Linked DNA regions of Danio rerio. The protein of the gene in region 1 binds, or shares a complex with, the protein of each later gene. Links are inferred from orthologs where the notes say so. Each region holds a gene or a part of one and is shown on either strand. Other genes may lie near its edges.

Region 1 (11,464 bases):
TTGCGATCTAAAAAAAAGAGAGAAAGGGGATTATAAAGTGCTATTCATGCTAAAAATAACAGACTTCGATTGGTTACTATTCAGTGCTGGAAAAAGCATTCAGACCTGGTCTTCAATGTTGATCTCTGTGCCCAGGGTGTTGTCGGTATTCCACTTCTCTGTGAAGGTCAGGCCATATTCAGACCTCTTGTATTTGGTTTCCAGGCTCCCAACCACTTTGCTGGTGTCAGTGTTGGAGGAACCAGAGGTCTTGAATTCCTATACAGACAGGAAAGGAACATATTTTAAGTTGGTGTAAGGTGTCACGCTTAATGACTTGATAACTAATTATTAAATAATTAAACAGAGGTCTAGGGTTTTGCAATGTGATGACTAAATATAACTAATTTAATAACAATAATTAATGATTTGTTAGTATAAGTAGATTCACAATATTTGTATTAACTTATTAACAAAATTGAGTCTCACCACTCCACTGGCTGATTTTGTCTTGACATCGAGCTTCACCATACCGAATCCTTAAAAAAAAAAATGAAAGAAATGCTTTGAACAAATACAGAAAACTAAAAAACATTTTTTTCCCAAGAGACATCATGAATTATTAAATACTTTACCATATCCTTTGTTAAAGATGTCTTTGGCAGATTTGCCAAGATCAGCATATGCTGGGGGAACGGCCATTTTATCTAATTAAAACAGAGTGTGCAAAGATCATTAGTGGGTCGGAAGAACACCATAACACTAAACACCTGTGCAAAAACCAAAAAAACAGTGTAAAAAAAAAAAAAAAAAAAAACTGTACGAAAGTTATTTTTCTGAACCAAGCAACAGTGGGATGTTTTGGGTGGTCTACAGTATGTCTAGCTTTCCATGGTTTATCACCATGTCCTATCAGTATGATAAATGACCCAGCCTGAAAGCAGCTGCTGCACTCAAGCTAATCTGAACTGACAGCAGGCCGCACCTAACTGAGTCACAGAGCAAGGAAGTGACGTCCCGATTCACTCCCACAGACACACACATTTAGACGTGTGCAAGTAAGCAGAAGAAGCAGTTGTGTGAATAGCAATGAGTGATCGTGGTGGAGGCTCACTGAACAACTAACAAAATCTGTGCGCTCTGAATAATAGTTTACAAATGTAGTGTGGCCCTGCCTTAGAGACAGTACCACCAAAAAAATATCACATTTCTCTATTTATTTATCCTCAAGTTGTAATACATGCACCTTTTGTTTTGTTTTTTTATCTGCTACACACAAATGAAGATATTTGAAGAAAGCTGAAACATTTTAACCATTAACATACATAGTCTAAAAAATGAAATATTTTCCTTTGTGTTCAAAAGAACAAAGAAACTCAGGGTGCTTTCACACCTACACTTTTGTTTCAGAACGTATCTCGATTGCCCAGTTAGCGCGGTTCGATTGGCATATGTGAACAGGGCAATCGTGCTCTGTTCCGCGCCAAAGTAATCGATTGAAACGAACCCTGGAGCGGTTCGATTGCAGTGAGAAAGCGATCCGATCCGAGTGCGGTTATATCACACTGTTTTATGAATATGTAATAGGCTTACGGCTATATGAAGAGAGAATTATGAGTAGGGCGGGAAGTTTCGCGAGTCTCCGGATGCCCGCAAACGAGTGATGATCTCCCGGTAATCTCGCGTCTCCCTCCCGGTCCTAGGCATCGTCGCGCACCCTTCTCACCCCTCCCCACCGCGTCTCTCCTCAGACACGTCGCGCGCGCGCACCCTGTCAGTCACCATCAAACCACCACCTCTCCTGACAGCGGAGCGGGACGCTGCAAAATAAACCCTGACACTCTGACCAATGTGAGGTGAGTTTACTCGCACGTGACTTGTTTTAGCTCTTTTGGTCCGATTAGAAACTTTGCAATGTGAAAGCAAACCGCTCCAAGAGCAAAGAGCAACAATGTAACAATTGTAATCTCTGTTTCGGAACAACTGAATCGATTCACAGGTGTGAAAGCACCCTCAGACAGGTTTGAAGCAAGTGAAGGAGGGAGTAAATAATGACAGATCTTTCATTCTTTGGTGAACTATCCCTTTAAGTCAATGTAAGAGCTTCATATTTTCACTGCTTGACCACAGTGACTGTAAAGCAGGGGTGGGAAAACTGGGTCCTGGAGGGTCAGTGTCCTGCATAGTTTAGCTCCAACTCTAATCACAGACACCTGCTTATAGATTTCTAATTATCTTGAAGACACTGATTAGCATGTTCAGGTGCGTTTGATTAATGTTGTAGCTAAACTATGCAGGACACCGGCCCTCCAGGACTGAGTTTGCCCACTCCTGCTGTAAAGTGTCATGGTTGAGTTTAAATGTATGCAGACGGATCAATTTTAAAGACCACTCATAATGCAGCATGCAAATAAATTAGTAATCACCATTCAGCACTTAGAAGTAATTTATGAACACGTCACCTGCTGTTAAAATGAATTGAGAACATTTTACTTTTTTAAAAGGTTGATGGCAGTGGGCTTTGTGCATTCATACTGGTGTAGAAAATGCACACTAACATTGCCCAAAACTTCAATAAAACTGCTAATAAATTCAAAATGTAAAAATAAAAAGTAGGGACTATAAATGTAGTTGTTTTAAACATTTATAAATTTCATCTGTTGAACAAATTTATATTGTGAAGAAGTTGAAAACATGCAACCAATGACATTCATAGTAGGAAAATCAAATACCACAGACGTTAATGGGTACAGGTTTTTGCTCCCTTTCTAAATATCTTCCTTTGTGTTCTTATGTTTGGAAGAAGTGAAGGGAGAGTAAATGGAAGTTTTACTATTTGGATGAATTATCTCTTTAACGATTCACTCTTCCCTGCAGTGTTGCAAACCAGCAGTTGTACCAGTTTGTGTTCTTTTAGTGCTGTGATGGAAAGAAGATTTATACATCCCCAATTTTCACATGACAATACAGCAGATATCCACTTCACAGGGTTAACTGCATGACCTTAAGTTTCTGGTCTCCAGCAATCTTCTGCTTAATGTCATGATACACGGGGCGACTTTCAGAGCAATGTTGCTGGGCAACTTTGGCAAATGATGCCATCACTGGGCAACCAGGTGAGACACAGGGCAAGTAAATGGAGCAATTGGATCCCGATACATTCATTCTCTTTTCGGCTTAGTCCCTCTATTAATCCAGGGTCGCCAAAGCGGAATGAACCGCCAACTTATCCAGCACGTGTTTTACGCAGCGGGATGCCCTTCCAGCTGCAACTCATCACTGGGAAACACCCATACTCTTCCATTCACACAAACTGAAGACAATTTTAGCTTACCCAGTTCACTTATAGCGCATCCATACACACTCATTCACACTCGTACACTACGGACAATTTAGCTTACCCAATTCACCTCTACCGCATGTCTTTGGACTGTGAGGGAAACTGGAGCACCTGGAGGAAACCCAAGCAAACGCAGGGAGAACATGCAAACTCCACACAGAAACGCCAACTGACCCAGCAACCTTCTTGCTGTGAGTTGACAGCACTACCTACTGTGCCAGTGCTTCGCCTGGATCCAGATACAATATTACCCATTTTCAATAAGTAGCGAAGCAACATCACTCCTAAATATTGCTCAACAACATTTCTCAAAGTCCAAATTTAAAATGAGTTCTCTCAAGTTGTTCCAACCCTGTTTGTGCCATTTTATTTCTAATGATAAACCCCAAAAGAAAATATTTTGAAGAATGTTGATAAACAGACAGGTGGAAATAAAAAAAATAAAACAATAAAAAAGCGAGAGAGATTTTGAATAGATCACTTGTTATAAATTATGCATTTACTTTTTTTTTTTTTTATCTTAAGTAAATGTGAGATTTACATTTTTGGAACAGTAAGTGGGAAAGATGCCCTTGCTTCTCTATTAAAAATGATGAACAGTAATCTCAGCTAATGCTGTAAAATATATAAAGATGCCCTATCAATTGCATATTACTAACTTCTTAAGTAACAGACAACAACAGAGTACCAACTATTGAATTTATTATTAGATATAATGTATAAATAAAAAAGACATTTATTTAAACATTAATTTTAGATATCCCCAACTCAAAATCAAAGACAATAAAATAGACAATATTACAGAAATAAAGCAAAAACATTCATACCAATCATATGCTCATGAAGGAGTATTGGTGTGTTTGACCGAGTCATGCAAGTTAAGTTTTGTTTTACAAGATTAATATTAATACAGTTCATTTACTATGAGCACTCACTTAAACCTTTCCTAAATTTAATAATTAAAAATAAAGATTTTTTTTTTATTTTAGTTTTTAGTGGTTTTAGTAAGGAATTAATGCAAGTAGAGAATGGCTGTTTGTAAAGCTTACAGCGTCATCTGCTGTTAAACTAAGTGCAAAATTTATACAAAGGTGAAAACAATGATTTATAAAATCTTGAAATCAGTTTCTCACCATAGCTGATAGCTCTAATAAATATTGAGAGAAATACCCTTCTTAAGAGACTGTTTCTCTAGTGAACTCAGAGCTGTGGACACTAAATGCCAGAGAGAAATTTCATGTCTAATGACATATAGTTTACATAAGTATTGACTTCTTTCTTCCACTGAAATACTGAGCTATTACAAGAGATATAATTAAATGTTCATGATTATTTTAGAATTTGCAACATGAGTTTGTGTCCTTAAAGGACTTCAAGGATAAGGTCAGGGTCCCCAATCCAAGTCAAATCTCAAATACCTTCACTTTGCCCTGGATTTACTGACTAAAAAGGATACCAGTAAAGTTGGTTTAATATTCGCACATTTGTCTTTTAGAAGTCTCTATATTGTTTACCTTGTTACTTTGAATATTCGATCGTAATTAGCATGCAAGAATTACTTAAAAACAACATTAACACTATGTAATTGACTCAACAATGTTGTACTTTGATAGTCATTGGCTGCCTTTATGATTTTCCTATTTAGAATTTGCAATGAATACTTTTCTGAAATTAAGTTAAGGAGAATGTTTGAATATCCAAATATAAAACCAACTTTACCTCTAAAAAATGCAAACAAATCATTAAAATAATAATAATAAATAAAACATTAGACCTCGTAATATCCCATATTTCAGAAATTTCATGACTCATGGGAACCCTATAAGATTGTTGTGCTAACTGTATGGAGTCCATCTAATATCTAGTTAAAGTTCTCTTTACACATCAGACAAAATTGTCTATATTGGGGTACACAACATGTTTTGGCTAAAAATCAAAAAATGTGTATTAGTAAATACATGTAATTACACCTTTTAGTCTCATCTCCAGGCTGGTTTAATGCAATCAATTATAAAAGAAACATCTAGCAATAAATTTTGAAAGAAAATAACTACAATACAAACCCAGGAAGACTGTAAATAATACAGATACAACCAATATTAGAATATATAGGAATACGCTAACATTTATTTTTCAAACAGAGTAAATAACTGATTCTAAATATAGCAAAATGCTTCACCTGTGACCTTTATCATATAGGTCATTGAGATTGAGGTAAAGTTGGTTTTAGATTTACATGTACAGCTTCAGAAAAGTATTACTTGAAAATCCTAAATAGAGAAAGACATATTAGCAGCAAATTACTCTTAACATTGTTCACAGTGAATTAAATGATGCTAATGTTGTTTTTAAGTCTTACTTGCATGCGATTTTAGAATATTGAAAATAGCATGGTTAACAGGGACCGTGTAACAAGTTGTCAGTTCAATAATGTACGGATGTGCTAATATAAAACCAACTTTACCTCAATGTCATTGAGTAACAGGAATGTCTGGTCCCACAGATTTGTCAGGCGCATACCATCCATCAGATCTTTCTTTTCAGGAAGTACAAAAATAATTACTTAAATACTCCTTGGCGCTTTAAACATGTAATAAAAAATATTATACTATACTATTAATTTGGCATAAATGCCTATTAAAATTGTGTAGGATTATTACCCTCTAATAATAAACTGAATTAATAGATGAGTTCAGGAACTGCTCTATTATAAAGGGCAAAGTAAGGGCAAGGCGAACTGCGGATTTACTACCCAATTTAACGCAGCCGCAGGAAAGCTTCTGAAGGCCACATGCAAGACTGGACCAGAGGGATGTACAACACTAACTGTAATTAAATCAAACAAAAAGTGAAGAAAAGGAGCTGCAAAATATGATGAGAGTGACTCAGGTCACGCATTTTTGGTGCTGCTCGGATGCAAGAGAAGTCAGCAGGAGCCGCACTGATCTGAATTAAAGCTACACTATAGATTAGACTGTAAAGCTGCTGAGCTGTGCTAATGTCACGCTATGACCGATCACAGGCTCATCTGTTTCTCTCCGGTCGTTACAGTAAGACAGACCGTGTGTGTGAGAGAGAGAGATATCGAGCAAGCTCAGCTAACGCGTGCTAATGCGCTAGCTAACACGAAGTAGAAAGCTTGCGAATTAACGTCTCCGACGCTTTCAATTCAGCCACATATGATTCCCGCTCCTCTCGGCGACTTACCTGTTAAAAGGAGTGGAGTGCGGTTATTGAAACGCGGCTGCTGAAGTTATTCCCAGCGCTGAGCCAATGTGGAGGGTCTGGCCAGTTGGAGGGCGAACTGAAGGAGACTGTAATGTAACACACCCGTGCCGACAGCCTCCCGCTCAAGGACCCCGGGCTGTCCTCACCTCTGCCTGACGGTAATTGCTAACGGCCAGGAACAGATGTGTGGCTTGCGCGGTATTGCGACATGCTACTGTACGTCAATTTAAGTCGCCAATATACTGCATGTCCTGTGACTCAGTTATTTTTTAGACAAGGGCTATTACATTGAATTTACATCATATAGTGTAAAAGGTACGCCATTGAAACATTAGTAAAAAGACTGTTTACTGGCTCGGTTCTATTAAATTATTTTTACTCATTTATGATATTTACTAATACACTATTAATATGTACTTTAATGGTAACTGAGGTAGTTAACTAATGGAACAATAATGAAAAGTGTTACAGTTTTGACAAAGCTCATGACTCAAACATTTGTAAATTAGTTGGCGTAGTAGCAGTAGTTGCCTACTGTAATTGTTATATTGTAGTTCAATAAAAGATGTTATTTCATTAACATAAGCAAAATTAACTTTAATTTTTTATCTGTACTTTTTGTTTATTCAGTTTAAGTTTCAGTTTCACATTTAGCTTTGATTTCTGTACGTTGACTACATCATGGTGTAAAAGGTACACCATCCATTTTCAAGTTTAATGGCTCAGTTCTATTCAATTATATTTACTAACACATTACTCATAAGTACTTTAATGATCACTGAAGTAGTAAACAAATGGAAGATATTGTAAAGTGTATTAGTTTTGACAAAACCTAAGACTCATAAACACTTGTAAATTATTAAAAGTAGCAGCAGTAGTTACCTTCTGTAATTTTTATATTGCAGTTAAATAAAAAGATGTTATTTTGTTAACTTAATGCAAAATAGCTTTTTAATTTGTATATTTACTATTTATTTAATTAGTTTAAATTTTAGTTTCACTATTAGCTTTGATTTTTGTATGTTGTTTTTACATCATATGGTGTAAAAGGTACACCATCCATTGAAACACTCTTGAAAGGCTGTTTACTGGCTCAATTTCACTAATACACTATAATATGTTCACTAATACATTATTCAAATTTACTTGAATGGTAACTGAAGTAGTTAAAAGGTATGCCATTGAAACACTCTTGAAAGGCTGTTAACTGCCTCAGTTGTATTAAATTATATTTACTAATACATTATTCACATGTACTTGAATGATAACTAAAGTAGTTGACTACTGGAACAATATTGTAAAGTGATGTAGTTTTCGCAAAACTCATGACTCAAACATTTGTAAATTAGTAATAGTAGTAGCAGTAGTCACCTACTGTTTATTGTCTATTGCTATAGTGCAGTTAAATAAAAACAGGCCCGTAGCCAGGGGGTGATGGGGTTCGGAAGACCCACCCCTCACTGACAAAGGTCCAGAATTTGTCCCACATGAGCTCATTTGTCCTCATGTGGGAGTTTGACTACTATGTTATCATAAATATTGAAATATCCCATAGAAAAAGGCATTGAGACCAAGCAGAATCCTCTGTTGGCTGTCTAATCCAAGTGGTGCTCGCTGCAGAGCCATTTGAGGAGAGGTGAGCTCCAGAGAGGGGGAGCTTAAGCTTGAGCTCCACCTTTTTTGCACTTCTTCTACGAGTGATGTCACTGGGGGTAGGGTTAGGGGTGGGGTTGGTGTACGCATTAAAACAGCTTACAGGAGGAGGAGCGACAGCTCATGCTCCCCCTCTCTGGAGCTCACCTCTCCTCAAATGGCTCTGCAGCGAGCACCCTCTCGTCTAATCAGCTAAGCTTTGGCCAATGCAAACAATTATTTTTCATGAGTCCAACATCCTATGCCAGAAAACACACAATCTGATGTAAGTGAAGTCATCTTTCGCTATGTATTGCTTAGAAATGGAGAAAAAATTTAGGACCTTATTCTTGAAACAAAATGACTGATAAAAAGGTGTGAAGCACCAAAAGCGGCCCAAATTAAAATGAATATGAATACTAATTTGGCTCTTGTTATCCATGAATTTTCAAATGTAGGCCTACAACAGAGGCAAAAATAGTGAAGCTCTACATTATTATTATTCGTTCATTCAATCATTTTCTTTTTGGCTTAGTCCCTTTATTAATCTGGGGTCACCACAGCAGAATGAACCGCCAACTTATCCAGCATATATGTTTTACGCAACGGATGCCCTTCCAGCTGCAACTCATCACTGGGAAACACCCATACTCTTCCATTCACACAAACTGAAGACAATTTTAGCTTACCCAGTTCACTTATAGCGCATCTTTAGTCTTTAAACTTGTGGGGTAAACCGGAGCACCCGGAAGAAACCTGCGCGAACATGCAAACTCCACACAGATATGCCATGTGACCCAGCCGAGGCTCGAACCAGCGACCTTTTTGTTGTGAGGCGAGAGCGCTACTCACTGCACCACCGTGTTGCCATATTATTAATATTATCATTATTATTATCATCATCATCATTATTATTATTGTTTACATTTTTTTTTTCAAATGGCCAAATTGTGACTGAGGAAAGTTGAATGTGCTGGCTAGTTTGTTATTTGCCTAATAAATGAGCTACAGTTTTTAATTAAAAACTTTAACAGATTTTTGTTTTATAATAAAATAATAAAATTGTATTTTAAAAATAAGTATTTATTCATATTTCTTTATTCTAAATCTTTAGGAAAAAATGTTGGCGTATCAAAAAGTGTGGTGCAAATCCAGCTGAAAATAGTGCTTAAAATGTCACTAAAATGCAGTTATAAAATGCTCAGCATATATAGGTATCACAGATCTTTCTTTTAAATTCATTATTTGTAATGGCATTTGGCCACTAGGTGTCAGTACGCTACTTTATAACTGCGACTGCACTGCATTGAGCAAGAGGTTGGTAGGATGCGCACAGTTTTTGATCGTAACTAATCGTAACGTGCTACACAAGAAGCGTGCAATTGCAACGCCGCTACAAAACGTGAAAAACTGCACTTCGTGGGACGATTGAGACATTGTTGGAGTGGACAGCAAGGCATGGTGTTTGGGCGGACAATGACGACGAAGTTCGTTTGGTTCAAGACTCGTTGGTGCATGTGAGAACAGCTTTTCATCAGCACCTAAATGAGTTTGCTTGGATCGGCTTTCTTCTCTTTGGGTCTGATAAACAGCCAGGTACGTTTGTTGCAGCATCATCATCATAATGGCCATATGGAAATTATGTGTGCACATTTAGGCATGGGACGATAACCGTTTTCAAGGTATACCACGGTTTTGAATAGTAAAGGTATTAAAATCGCCAAAAATGTTCTTACGTTACTACCATTCCTAAGGTGTGTAACATTTTTTTTATTTACATTTTTTTTTTTTAGAAAAATAGTAACGCTATCTCCAGCCGAATATTTTGAAACAAATAAAGACAAAAGTCAATGATTCATTAGAATTATTTAGCCTGACATGTTTACTGCTCCAAAAATATTTAAAATGTTTCTCAAAATAAAATATATTGTGTTCAGAAGGGGAATAACGTTAGAATTCGTTTTTTACTCAGACACTAAGACGAACATATTTTAGAGCAGCACAATACTGTAAAACCGTTATTTTTTTTTTTCCTCAAGATTTCATACTGTCAGAATCAAATGAACAGCTAAAGCTTTAGTTGTAAAACTTGACACTTTACAGAAGTTAAGAAAATCATCAAAGCACAAAAACTGACAGTCAATTAACAAGTTAATGCATGATGACAATAACCGCTTTTTCACTATCGCGCCTAAAGTGAGCGAGCGAGCCAGGGCCAGTCACGTTTCCACTGTCACATCTGGGGCCTAATGGGGCCAAAGCGAGGCTTCTGTGGGGCAGCCTTTTTTGCCCGCAGAATACCTTGGGCAAAAGAGGGTCAGCTGTGGCTTCAGGGCGGAGTGACAGGAGAGGCGGAGTTTGCAGAGTCTGGTAAAGATGGCGTGCCGCATTACACTACATGTTGCATAAAATAAGTGATATTTCTCTGCTGCGTCCTCCTTGATGTTTCAATAACACATAATAATCTTCACACCATATTAAAGACACAGCACAGCAGCCTGTAACCTTCAGCTGTCGAGAGTTTTTGTCAAGTTTAAATGGTGGGTTTGTGCATGAAACGTGCATGGATTTGGATATTCTCTAAAAACAATACACAACAGAGTTTTTAATAATAATTTATTTATTATTTGAATACAATGATATTAATCAAATCTTGCAAACAGCATTTTTTGGGTGAGTATAACCATCAGAAACGACCTTCTTTTCTGTCATCCAGTCCTGCGCAGTGCTGCTTTATTAACGGATTGGGAAAAACTGCATGTAAAAAATGTGTTTCATGTCCTCAAACAAATGTTTATGTTTTCATATGATGCGTTGTAAAATTTTAGAACTTTATTAGTGGATAGCTGCTGAGCACAACGATATATAGCCTATATTTTATTGTTTGGTCCTGGAACGCTTAACTGGTTTATTTACTTAACTCAACATCCTTCATTTATTCTCTTAAATAAAGAGATTACCTATTAAGTGTTATATAGCCTAGGTAAAAAATGTATATTTTTTAGGTCTCTCCGCCACTTTTGGGGTGAATGTTTGACGGCGTCTATCAAAACAAGGATGTTATAAAATTTCTATGGTTTTATATAATGGATGTTGCGCTGGGTCCTTCAGTTTGTGGTGAGACCACTTGATGCATGACGCCAATGTCGGTTGGCCATTAAACAAATATAATGAATGAAAATACGTAGGCCTATGCGTATAGACAATGTAATGCTGTACAGTACCGTGTCATTTGTTTGTTTCGGTTGTCTTTATTTTAATCGTTTTCTGATGATGCGAAGATGT
Region 2 (11,464 bases), on another chromosome or scaffold:
AACCTTTAATTTAATAAACAATTGTTAATAAACAGCTTTAGTTAAATAAATTAATGGAGCACAACCATGCAACAGAAGCGCAGGAGATACAAAGCTTGAAAGAGTAAATCACAAGGTTGTTTTCAGCGACAGGCTTCAGCCACTGTTCAAACTCGTCTTTCTTCAACCAGGAGTATGCAAACTTACATTTTCCCATTTTGCCGTCTGTTTTGATATGGTTACGCAACATGTGGAGAGCTTCACATCTTTTTTCTGCGTTTGTCACAAATGACGTAACATCACCCGGATGGAGGAGCTTGGCCGGACCCGCCTGGCCAGAAGCAATCGCTTGGAACGAGCACACCATTGTAATATTAGGAAGATAATAAATATATTTATGCTTTTTTGAAGTCAAAAACTTTGGACAACACTTGAAAACCTCGTAAAAACGCAATTAAGACTTTTATACCTTTAAGGGCCTTAATTGTCTCAAAGTTTTCTCAAAATTTTACGCGGACACCCTGTTAGAAAAATAAATAAAGCTCACTGCACAAAAGTAAAAGGCTGAAATTGTCCTTTTTAATGTAAAAAAAATGTATTTAAAAAAGAAATATATAAAACAAGTATGAAGCAGTAACATACAAGACTAGCAATTTAGCATTACAAACACTGGTAAACTTTACAATAAGGTTTCATTCAATTAATCAATAACTGAACAAGGCATTATTTTAGTTTATTAACAAACTGTTTGCTGTGTGCATTTATTTCAAGATTTCTTAGTTATGCAGATGATCACATTTAAAAATGTATATTATCCAATATTAATTAATGCTGAATGTGGATTGTTTATCATTAGTTAACTAATTAACTGATGTGTAAGGGTTAGTTCACCCAAACATTTGAAAGTGAGTTTGTGTGTGTGCGTGGCTCCTGATGATACACTGAGATTACACTGTGGTAAATAATTGAAACAATAGCCCCTTTCACACATACAGACCTTTCCGGAAAATTACCGGCAATTTTCCGGAAAGGTTGTATGTGTGAACAGGTCCTTTTTGAAAATACCGGTAAATTCGTTCTGGCTATTTTCCGGAAAGAGAAGTTGTAACATTACCGGCAATTTGCCGGAATGCTGCGCTGTGTGAACGCAGAAGGAAGATTTCCGGAATAAGCTCGTGCATGTCTAGAACGTGCTGACGTGAGACGTCTGCTTTAGCCAATCACAACAGTCAGACGCATTTACGTCCGCGCGGTTTGTGAGAATAAAAGCCTTTGAATATTTTTCCAGACACATTTAGCTGCTAGAAGTTAGTCAGATAACGTTTATATGTTCTTCTTAATGCCAACTGTGCAAATAATCATCGATAAGATGCTTATGATAAGCCGTTGTTTGTTTACCTTCAAGCTTTGCGTGTGCCCATGAAACAGCCTGTGAGCGTCAGCACACGCACATATTATGAACATCTCGACATGCGAATATGATCCAGTGAAAGTTGTTTACAATATTGATCATCCACAGAGTTTGTAATTTAGTCAAATGTTTACAAATACAAGCGCAGCCGTTTAAAGCTCATTTGTGGTGAATGATGTCAGAATTTACCGGTATTTTGGAATGGATGTGTGAATGCTCTTTTCCGGAAAATTTCCGTAACGTCCTCGCCTGTGTGAACAGCGCTTTTTTGAATATACCGGTAAAGTCGTTCCGGAAATTTTCCGGATATTTACCGGTATCACTGTGTGAAAGGGGCTACTGTCAGGTTTTGTTTTGCCTCTATACTGTTTTGCCTCTCAAAGTGTTAGCTGCTGACTTGCATATGTTGACCACAGATTCAGCTACAAATATCTTTAATACTGAAGAAAACGTCACCTACATTGTGTATGTAACGGCTAATTAAATTTTATTAATACGGTGAACTATCCTTTAAGCCAATGAAACCTTATTGTAAATGATATACAGTACAAATATGTCATATAAAATCAGCAACAAGCTTTACATTTTATAAGTAGAATACAGTTTTTTAATGTTATGTTTTGATTCAGTGTTGGATAACTGAGGCTGAGAGGCAAAACAAATCAGTAGCCTCATTAAAGAAATATAACACTGTGGATTAACTAACTACACTTTATAATATCATGGCAGATATCTTTCATTGTCCACAGAACATGTCAGTCTGTAACAGCACTGATGTGTTGAAAAGGCACATACTGTATGTCATGATATGTAATACAGTATTCAATATACAGGCTGTACTAAACAGCAACAAGATAGGTTTGAGCTTTTTAGGCAACTCTGTATCGTCAGAGACAATCAAGAGTGCTGACAACTTCCTGAAACACCTACAAAAACATGGGGAATAAAAGACAGTTTATTGTTATGAAGGCACAAATCACACTAAAATGGAGGAAATATTTACTGTAGTATTTAACAATGAACTCACTTCTAAGTTTGTAAACAGGTACGACAGTGCAATGAAAAGCTTTCGCTCACGCTCACTATATCGCCAGCAGTGGATGGTTTGACCTAAAAACAACAACAACAAAAAAGAGCGTGTATACATATTAGTGGAAAATTCACCCACTAGAGCTACTACTTATGAAAATATATCACTCATGTTATGGAAATAAACTAATAAGGGGCTTACCCTGGACTTTCTGTTGAAATCCGCCTGCTGCATTGCCGATGCAGAAGCAGCCCTGCTCGAAGCTGATCTGATCATATTTTTCGATGTTGGCCAATAAAGTGCCATTCACAGGCAGGTATAGAGTGCTGCCGTTGGGCTGCCAGCTCTCCGACTGATACACACCTCTCTGGCCATCAATCAAGACAAAACCACCTAAAGGTGAGAGAAATAATAGCAATTTTAACTCTTTTTCAATTATTTAACTGGTGAATTTTTAACGGAGCAATCATTTGTATAGTATTTTCCTATTATATTTTACATCTGGAGACTTATTTCTTTTAGATGGCTAGAAAAAAATAAATATTGAAATAATGTAAAACTGCTGAGGTCAATATCATTAGCCCCCTTAAAGGATTTTCTTTTCCGATGGCTACAGAACAACCCACTGTTGACCAACGCCAACTGGATTTCATCAAGTAGGACGTGTTTCTGGATTATCATCTATGTCAGGGGTGGCCAACCCCGTTCCTGGAGAGCCACCTTCCTGCAGATTTCATGTCCTAATTAATTGGTTCAGGTGTATTTGATATGGGTAGCAACTGAAATCTGCAGGAAGGTGACTGCAGGAACAGGGTTGGCCACCCCTGCTCTTTGTTGATCCTGGAACAACATTTCTAATCAGAATTAAGAGATATGTTTACAGTTTATGCTAAGTTTAAGCTTATGGTTTGGTTTATGCATTTTTAAATGATTGTTATCCAACTATTCCCTCTGATTTTGGGAATAATTTACAGTATTGGTTGGGTTTTGGGGTGTAGGGAATAGGTATATATTACATTTTCAAACAATAATTATGTTCCAGGATCAAGATGTTAATCCAGGATTGCATTGTACTTGGCAAAATCTTGACGTGCGTTGACCAATGACTTGCCAATAACTTAGTTAAGCCATAAAAATTGCACTTTGCACCGAATACAAGTAGGATATTAAACAAAATGGTGCAATATGCTGTACTGTTATCATGACAAAGACCAAAGGAATTCGTTTTAAAAAATTAGTTTTTAAAAATACATTGAAAAAAATCTTTACGTAAAACAGCACTCGGTAAATATTTGAAAATTAATTAATTTTTCATAGGAGGGCTGGTAATAATTTTGCCTTCAACTGAATCTGTTTATAAACAAACATATAGGCCTATATGTAAGGCTAAACAATTTAATGTTTGAACATCGATATCTCAATGTGTAGATCTGCAATAGAATATACTACTATTAAATATTATTATTCATTCATTCATTTTCTTTTCAGCTAAGTCCCTTTATTAATCTGGGACGCCACAGCAGAATGAACCACCGACTTATCCAGCATATGTTTAACGCAGCGGAATGCTCTTTCAGCTGCAACCCTTCACTGGGAAACATCCATACACTCTCATTCACACACATAGACCTGCACCACATGTATTTGGACTTGTGGGGGAAACCGGAGCACCCAGAGGAAACCCACGCCAACAGGGGGAGAACATGCAAACTCTACACAGAAATGCCAACTGACCCAGCAACCTTTTTGCTGTGAGGCAAGAGTGCTTCAATGTTGTTATTTTTAAAGTTATTTATTCAATGATGAACATGTTATTTTACGTTTGATTATTAGATAGCCCTGAAAACCATAAAGCACTGTTTATTTTTTCTTTTAATTTATAATATTTTATGCAGATCCACTGCATAGAAAAATAAATATTTTTAAATAGACCTATTCAAATCATCTGGTGAATTTATATGCATATCGCCAAGGTATATTGCAGCAAAACAAAGTATCAAAATGTCAGATGTGCAGCCCTGACTATATGCTTTGCAAATTCTTCACAATTACAAGCCAAAGAAATGATTAATATTAGTGTTTATGTTAAAGATTTTAGCTTCGGAGTATGGCTAGATATAGATGTTAGTATGTCTTTACTGGTTAAATATTTAAATATAAAGCTTAAACTCAAAACCAAACTAAAAAAAAAACATCTAAAAGTAATGACCCGTTCAAAAGCTCAGCTGAGAGAGCAATACCTACGTTTCCTCAAGTTTTCTTTGGAGGGAAAACCATTAGCAGCGTCTCCTTCATTGCCATTTAGTGTACTGGCATCATTTCGTTTACGTTTACTGGGTAAACACGTCGGCGACGTTTCACTGAATCCATGAACCCATTTCAGACAAGCGTTACTGGACATAAGTCCACTGGGGTCCATCATTCATTCAGTACTCAATGGACTTGTGTGTAAATCAAATGTATATTACGTGCAGCTACAACGATATTTGAACATTTAAAAATGGATGCCACAATATCTGTGATAAAATATGTCTTAAGGAAATAAAACCAGCGCGTTATAAAGTCTTCAGTTTTGCTGTCTTGTTACACAGCGACAAGAGATTCACAACAAGCGCGCAACAAAACCAAAACAATGAGCCGTGACTAGATGTGCTCTTTTTGATATTGCCTGATTAAAATAACACTATTATTAACAATTTTCATACAATGTGTGAAAGAAGTTTATATTTAACGCATTGCCATGTTATAATATGTTATTATGAAAATAATGCGTTGTTGTTAATAACAAACTGATCGTAAGAATACCCGATTTAATATCAGGCACAACTTAGTAGGGAAAAAGCGGGGGTCCTAGAGGCAGCTCCGATGTGACGTATTTCCCTTTTCGCATGCCTTTAGGACAGAGAGTGGCTTGAAGAGATCATTTCAACCACAAAAAACCCTTCATTCAAGCTGAAAAATGTTTAAACTAGAGGGACTCGGGCCGAAAATGGACCCGGAGGAGATGAAGAAGAAAATGCGTGAAGATGTCATTACGTCTGTTCGCAACTTTTTGATTTACGTTGCGCTTCTGCGAGTCAGTGAGTATTCCAGACGCTTCATGCATGTCTTGGGTTAGATTAAATGTCACGTGTGTCGTCTTTAAATTTTGATTGTCATTTATATTCATAGAGTTTGTCTTGGGACCGCGTTAAATCATGAGTAATATGTCTTTTCAACATAAATGGATGAATTTGGTCTATATGTAGATGATGAATGACAGAGGTCACCTCTAGCACTCATAATGAATTCAAAATCTGTATAGTTATTACGTATATTTGAGCCTAAAGAACATTTCTTTTCAAGAACAGACATATTTTAGTAGCCGTGATGTATCACTTCTCGTTAATGAAAGAATTAAAATGTCAAAGATTTGAATGGTATTGTATAATTAGCATATTTTTACTGTTTACCTCATTTTGATTAAATATGCAAGTGTGCCACACCTTTTAAATCGTTGAATGACACATTAAGATAAATATGGTTTTACATTAGCACATTTTGACTTTCTTAACCTTCTTAATTTTTACTCAAGATTCTTTAGCTATGAACAATGTCTTAAAGTAGTGTTTAACATGAATTTATATAGACATACAATAGACATACAATAACTGTGGTAAATACAAGTAGGCACTAAATATGTATTACAAAATGAACAATAGATGACCGAAATCGAAAAACTTTGTTTCATTACCAATAGACAGCTCGCTAAAATCACTATCACAGGGTCTGACCAAAAAAATTGACTCTTTAATCCATCTGAATGATTTATCAACCGGCAAAGTACAAACAAAACAATATCCTTTCCTGTGTGCAGAGTGCTGGAATTTTCATTCAGTCCTTCAGTTGGATTACATTAGTGTACTAATGTAGGGAATAGTGAATGAGGGTATATACAGTAAGTTATACTTTGGTCATTTTTGAGCGAGATGGTTATGATCTAATCCAATAAAATAATTGACGCTAAGGTAAAAGTGCTCCTACTTGACCAAGAGATTGGCTGAAAGAAAGTAAAAAGACACAAGATTCTTTCTTTCTTTCTTTCTTTCAAGAGAAAGAAATAAAGAAATATATTTTAAAATAGAATACCTAAATATGTGGATGAAAATAAGCTACAGAATAAAGCAGTCATAACGTGTATCAAAATAAAATACAGTATTTTGTATTTTTTAAAAAAAAAAGCATTAAAATTTTTTTTTTTTTATACAAATCTTCCATTAATAGACCTATTGGATCAATCCCTTCACCATTAAACTGACATGGTAAAGTACACAATGTTTGTTAGAAAATGTGGCCAGTAAGATGCCCTTATCTCTGTACAATGATTATTCAACCTCTTAATATTTTAAAATGGTGTTAGTTTTTTTTTAGCAGAATTTATCAGAAATATTTTTTTCTATTGAACTTTTCAATTCTCATTGTAAAAACTGCATTAGAAGTTTTTGATTAATAAGTACTTGTGTTGCGTAAGTTGTGACATAAGGCTTACATCTTTCCTCTTCATTACTATACAGTGGACCTATCAGCTGCTGTATGTACGAATTGGACACTAAACTGACAAATGTAAAATAGTTACATTTCCTTATGAGACCAGGCTGGAGGATCGACACAGAATAGAGATGCTTATCTGCAAAAGGCATTCGGTCTGAAATGTGTCAGTCAGTGACTTGGAATAATGTTTATGGAGATGTTTTCTTTCTGATGGATAAATAGTCTGGATACCCATTCATTTCCTATGGCAGTCACTTTTGACCGGAAACACCACAGGTGTAACATGGTTGATTAAGGCCGTACTCACACTATGTACAGTTGTCTCGAACTGGGCCAAAGCACGCTTGTCCCCCCTCCCGTCTCCCTCGACAGCCCGCACTCACACCACAATCGGGCCTCGGCACGCTTGCGTCATCCCTGCTGCGCTGTTCAGTGAGAAGCGCTCTCTCACTCAGCAGCACAGTGGAGATTTCTCTAGTTATATCGTTTCAGTCGTTTGTTATGCAGTGACATGCAGTCAAATATTTAGCCGAACAGTCCTTAGGGATGTGGTGACACGCAGTCAGATATTTCGCCGAACAGATCCACCACTTTTAGCACTCATAAACAATCATAAAGCCCTCGTGCTGCAGGAATGAGGAGGTCTGCTGAAGGTGCGCAGCTGTCATGCAGTGAGGGGTTTGCGTATTTCATAAACTACGGCAGTTTGCGTTCACTGAACAGTAAGAATGATTAATAAACCCATATGAAACAGCCCCTTAAAAGTCACGTCTCGCTTTCAGTTTCGGGCTTTGCACTCACACCACAAGTGTACCGCGCAAAAGCCCAAGTGAACCGCGCTCAGGCACACCTCTTCCAACCGGGCCAGGGCCGGCCAAGTGAACCGTGCTTGAGCTCGATTCAGCGCACTCACACTTCTCAAACGATCCGGGAAACGGGCCTGGGCACGGTACGGATGGCATAGTGTGAGTAGGCCCTAATACACTCAAAATTAAATGAAAGAGGTGAACATCGGTTTTATGTTCAAATGCATAGCATTACTCAGTCAATTAGATAATTCTTATGTTGTTTTAAAAATCTATTTCAGACCCAATATTTAAAAGAACAGTGAGAAATTGTCACTGTTCACAAATGAAGGAATGTGCGAATATAAAATCACCTTTACCTTGAGGTATTAATCTTGTTGTAATAGCATATTAACATACATGTATTCATATTTTTTGTACCAGCTTTAAATATCATTCATGACACATTTTTGAAGCCCACTTGCTTTTAATTACTAAATAAATTCCTTTTATTTCAGCACCCTATGTTTTGAAGAAGCTGGACAGCATATGAAGCTTCACCCATGGGCGAAAACATTCCCTGTACAGAAGAGCATGCGGGACTGGGACGATGCTGCACAGAATCGATTACATCGGCAGTCCACAAAGAGATGTGGTCAATTTGTGTAGTCGCTAATTAAATTTTTTTATTTCCCTGGGTGATTTGTCCTCATCCAAACTCCATTAAAAACAGGTGATGTCTACAAGAATTTTAAGTTCACAGTGACCCAAGCAATAAATCCTTTCAGCCATTTATATTGACAGTAGTATTTCCAAAATCATGTGTCTCGAGGATACTATACACTCTGTTAATGCACTGCAGAAATTGTACCTTTCTTTGTTTTCATTGTATTCATGACTCAACTACCAAATACAGACTTTTCAGTAAATCCTTTATTGTTCTGTATCATTCATTCTTCAGCATCTTTAATCAGCATCATGGAGTGTATAAGGACAGTTGAGTGTTGAATGAATCTCGAATTTCACAGTTAGAGCAAATGAGTGTATTAAATCATTGTGTTGGAATGAGGTTATCCAATAAACCTAATCTAATACATGTTTTATCCCATCTAATCTCATGGTAAATGTAGTGCATTCAGTTGTTAGGTTAGACTGGTTTTCTGTCAGTGTAAGGCACGAGTTAGATTGCTACATTTTCAGCTCGCTGGGCATTTCAGAGCCCGTCAGGCCTGCCAGTAAGTTGTTTGCCGTCAGTTCACTCATAACACCGCGGGTAGAGTAAGTGGCACTGCCGATGTGAGGAAGAACCACTGCAAGACAAAATAACATCAAGGTTTTCAATGGTAAAGACTGAAGACAGATCGCTTCTCTGAGGTGCATTTACAATGTAGAAGTGAGATATAACCCTTGTGTGCTGTTGGGGATGTTTTCGTCCACTCTGGGATGATTTTGCGTCTTAATTGGGCCACAGCTTTCTCTGTGTTTCAGCAAATGGAGTTTTTTTTGGTGACTACTCTCATTATGAGACATATTTTGGGAAAATGCTTTGAAAATTGAAACTCTGAAACACTGGGAAATGTACTACCCTTTCGTTATGTTCGTGGCTGTTTTTGCCCCATTGTCTTCCATTTAAAGTTTTTTTATTATTACAAAGTCATGACACCATATAATCATGCATTCTTGATTGTTGCTGGTTTTCCCTGTTGGGAAGAGGTACAATTTTACATTTTTACTGTTGATCATCAGTTGCAGTGCAAAAAAAATAGCTTTGTTTCTGGTGTAAAATGATATGGTTATATGGAGAATAATGCGTTTGAGAGAGACTTTTGTGCACTTACCTTGATATGTTTGAGAAAATAAAAATAAGCAGCTCAGCTCTCAGACCACAGTAAATGTATTTATGCAGTCTAGGGTTGTCACGATACTGAAATTGACCCTTCGCTAAGCCCCGTTATCCTTATGACCCTTTCCACTGAGTGAAGCTACGGTCACACGAGTTTGTGTGTCCGATATTGTCGTGCGGCGCTGCGAAAAGGGGCAGGATTAGACAAGATTATTAGGCATTAAAAAAGTGAGCGATTGCTCTATAATTTAAATTTCTGTCCAGAGAGTTCATGTTTTGATCCTCGATTGGTCTCACGCAATCAAATGATGGGATTTCGCAGGTCAGAGTTCACCAAGCTCGAAACTTGACGCATGACCCTGCGACCCTGCAATTCTGGAAACGCAGGGTCATGCGTCGAGTTTCGCAGGTTGCTGCGGTGCAAAGTTCAAGCTTGGTGAATTCTGACCTGCGAAATCGCATCATTTGACTGCGTGAGACCAACCGAGGATCAAAACATTGCCTCTCTGGACAGAAATTTAAATTATAGAGCAATCGCTCGCTTTTTTTAATGCTTAATAATCTTGTTTATTCCCGCCCCTTTTCGCAGCACCGCACGACAGAATTTCGCACACACAAACTCTACTGTGACCATAGCTTTACTGTTGTTATGCCTGTCAAGCTTTCGTGCCTGGCCATCTATTATAATATGTAAACGCCGGTATATGTTCCCAGGGACCTAATTAGTCATTTTGGCGAACAGGTGAGATATCCGAGAAAGCCAGACAAAAAAGGACTGCAGTATGCCCTACAGGGGTAAATTCACAGCATAAAATGCAACTGGTTAGAAAATTAGAAAATCAAAATTGAAGCTAGGTTAGCCTAGCCGCCTAAAACGCTGACCATTCAACAGCTTAGTTCATACACAGCAGAAAGGGTCAAATTTAAAAATAATCTTATAACTAATCAAACCCTGAATTTATTTTTTTTTTTTTAGATAAAAACTAAAAGCATGATGGACTACTGTTGTGCAATGAAATATAGCGTTACTAACCGGCGAGGAAACACGCATGGGCAGTGCTTCTACACAATTCATTCATAGAAAGAAAAGGCCAGAAAGGGGAAATTGATGGATTTGAGCCAAATGTTAGCATCATTTACCCATAACAATGTACAGTAGCTATAACTGTCAGCATGTTTGTGTGCTTTTTATACCGTTTCTATTCTAATTTGCAGTTAAGTGGAAATAAATAAATTGAAATGCAAATCAAAGTATAAATAGCACAAGTGAACAAATAGATTTTCCCTACCAGCAAATATTAATCCAACATCAAATAGAAAAGCAGACACTAACCCGCTTTAACACCGTCACCAATGACCAAAAGACGGACGAAAACATCAGTGAATTGTAGCTTTGACATAGACATGGAGATTATAAATGACTGAGAAACAGGTGAAGTATATTGATTGCAAGTGCTAATTGTGACCATATCTCTGTTTAGTTTTGTTGATTTGTAATCCTAATATTCATAGCTTGAAACAGATGGAAATATGACTGAATTGTGCTTCTTTTACGACCCCTCACACAGCTTGATCCAAGCTGGCATTTTTCCCTTTGGGTTTTAGACTTTGGAAAGGGAAAAAAATTCTGAAACTCTGTTCAAATTTTAAAGATACTGGGTATCAGATTTGCACAATCCATATGCACAACGCTTTGGCTTGTTTCCTTTATTCAAAAGCTTGACAGACCTCCTGCATGTAGCTATGGTTGGTGTGTGGCAGTTTTCAGGTGTGGCTTAGCAAAGGAACAATTCGGTACCAATCGATACTGGAATTTTAAAAATGTCTATTTCCTGTTGCCATTTAAACGCTGTTGAGCGCGATCTGAAACAGCACTGATTTGTCAT

What was found. The genes of interacting proteins can lie anywhere in the genome.
Region 2: the proteins of vdac2 (region 1) and tomm5 are in contact, whole or in part, in a cryo-EM structure (PDB 9EII), measured with the Homo sapiens proteins. The link is inferred for Danio rerio from reciprocal best matches to the Homo sapiens genes VDAC2 and TOMM5. Residues at the interface, in NP_001171752.1 of Homo sapiens: Val38, Thr60, Gly63, Asp239, Tyr258, Gln260, Thr261, Leu262, Leu268, Leu270, Val286, Leu288; in NP_001001790.1 of Homo sapiens: Ile25, Arg29, Leu32, Ile33, Ala36, Arg39, Val40, Phe43, Ile44, Lys47.

What each region holds. Positions count from the first base shown.
Region 1 is NC_133188.1:19,708,176-19,719,639, forward strand, and holds the start of vdac2 (voltage-dependent anion-selective channel protein 2), read right to left. Parts: upstream 6,739-11,464; 5' UTR 6,527-6,738; intron 687-6,526; 5' UTR 682-686; coding exon 615-681; intron 519-614; coding exon 469-518; intron 259-468; coding exon 106-258; intron 8-105; coding exon 1-7. UniProt on the Homo sapiens protein: Non-selective voltage-gated ion channel that mediates the transport of anions and cations through the mitochondrion outer membrane and plasma membrane.
Region 2 is NC_133189.1:49,378,359-49,389,822, forward strand, and holds tomm5 (mitochondrial import receptor subunit TOM5 homolog), read left to right. Parts: upstream 1-5,265; 5' UTR 5,266-5,379; coding exon 5,380-5,500; intron 5,501-8,253; coding exon 8,254-8,288; 3' UTR 8,289-8,667; downstream 8,668-11,464. Other genes in the region: si:dkey-109l4.3 (uncharacterized protein LOC559137), read right to left, coding at 2,278-2,316, 2,418-2,500, 2,622-2,813, 4,665-4,842.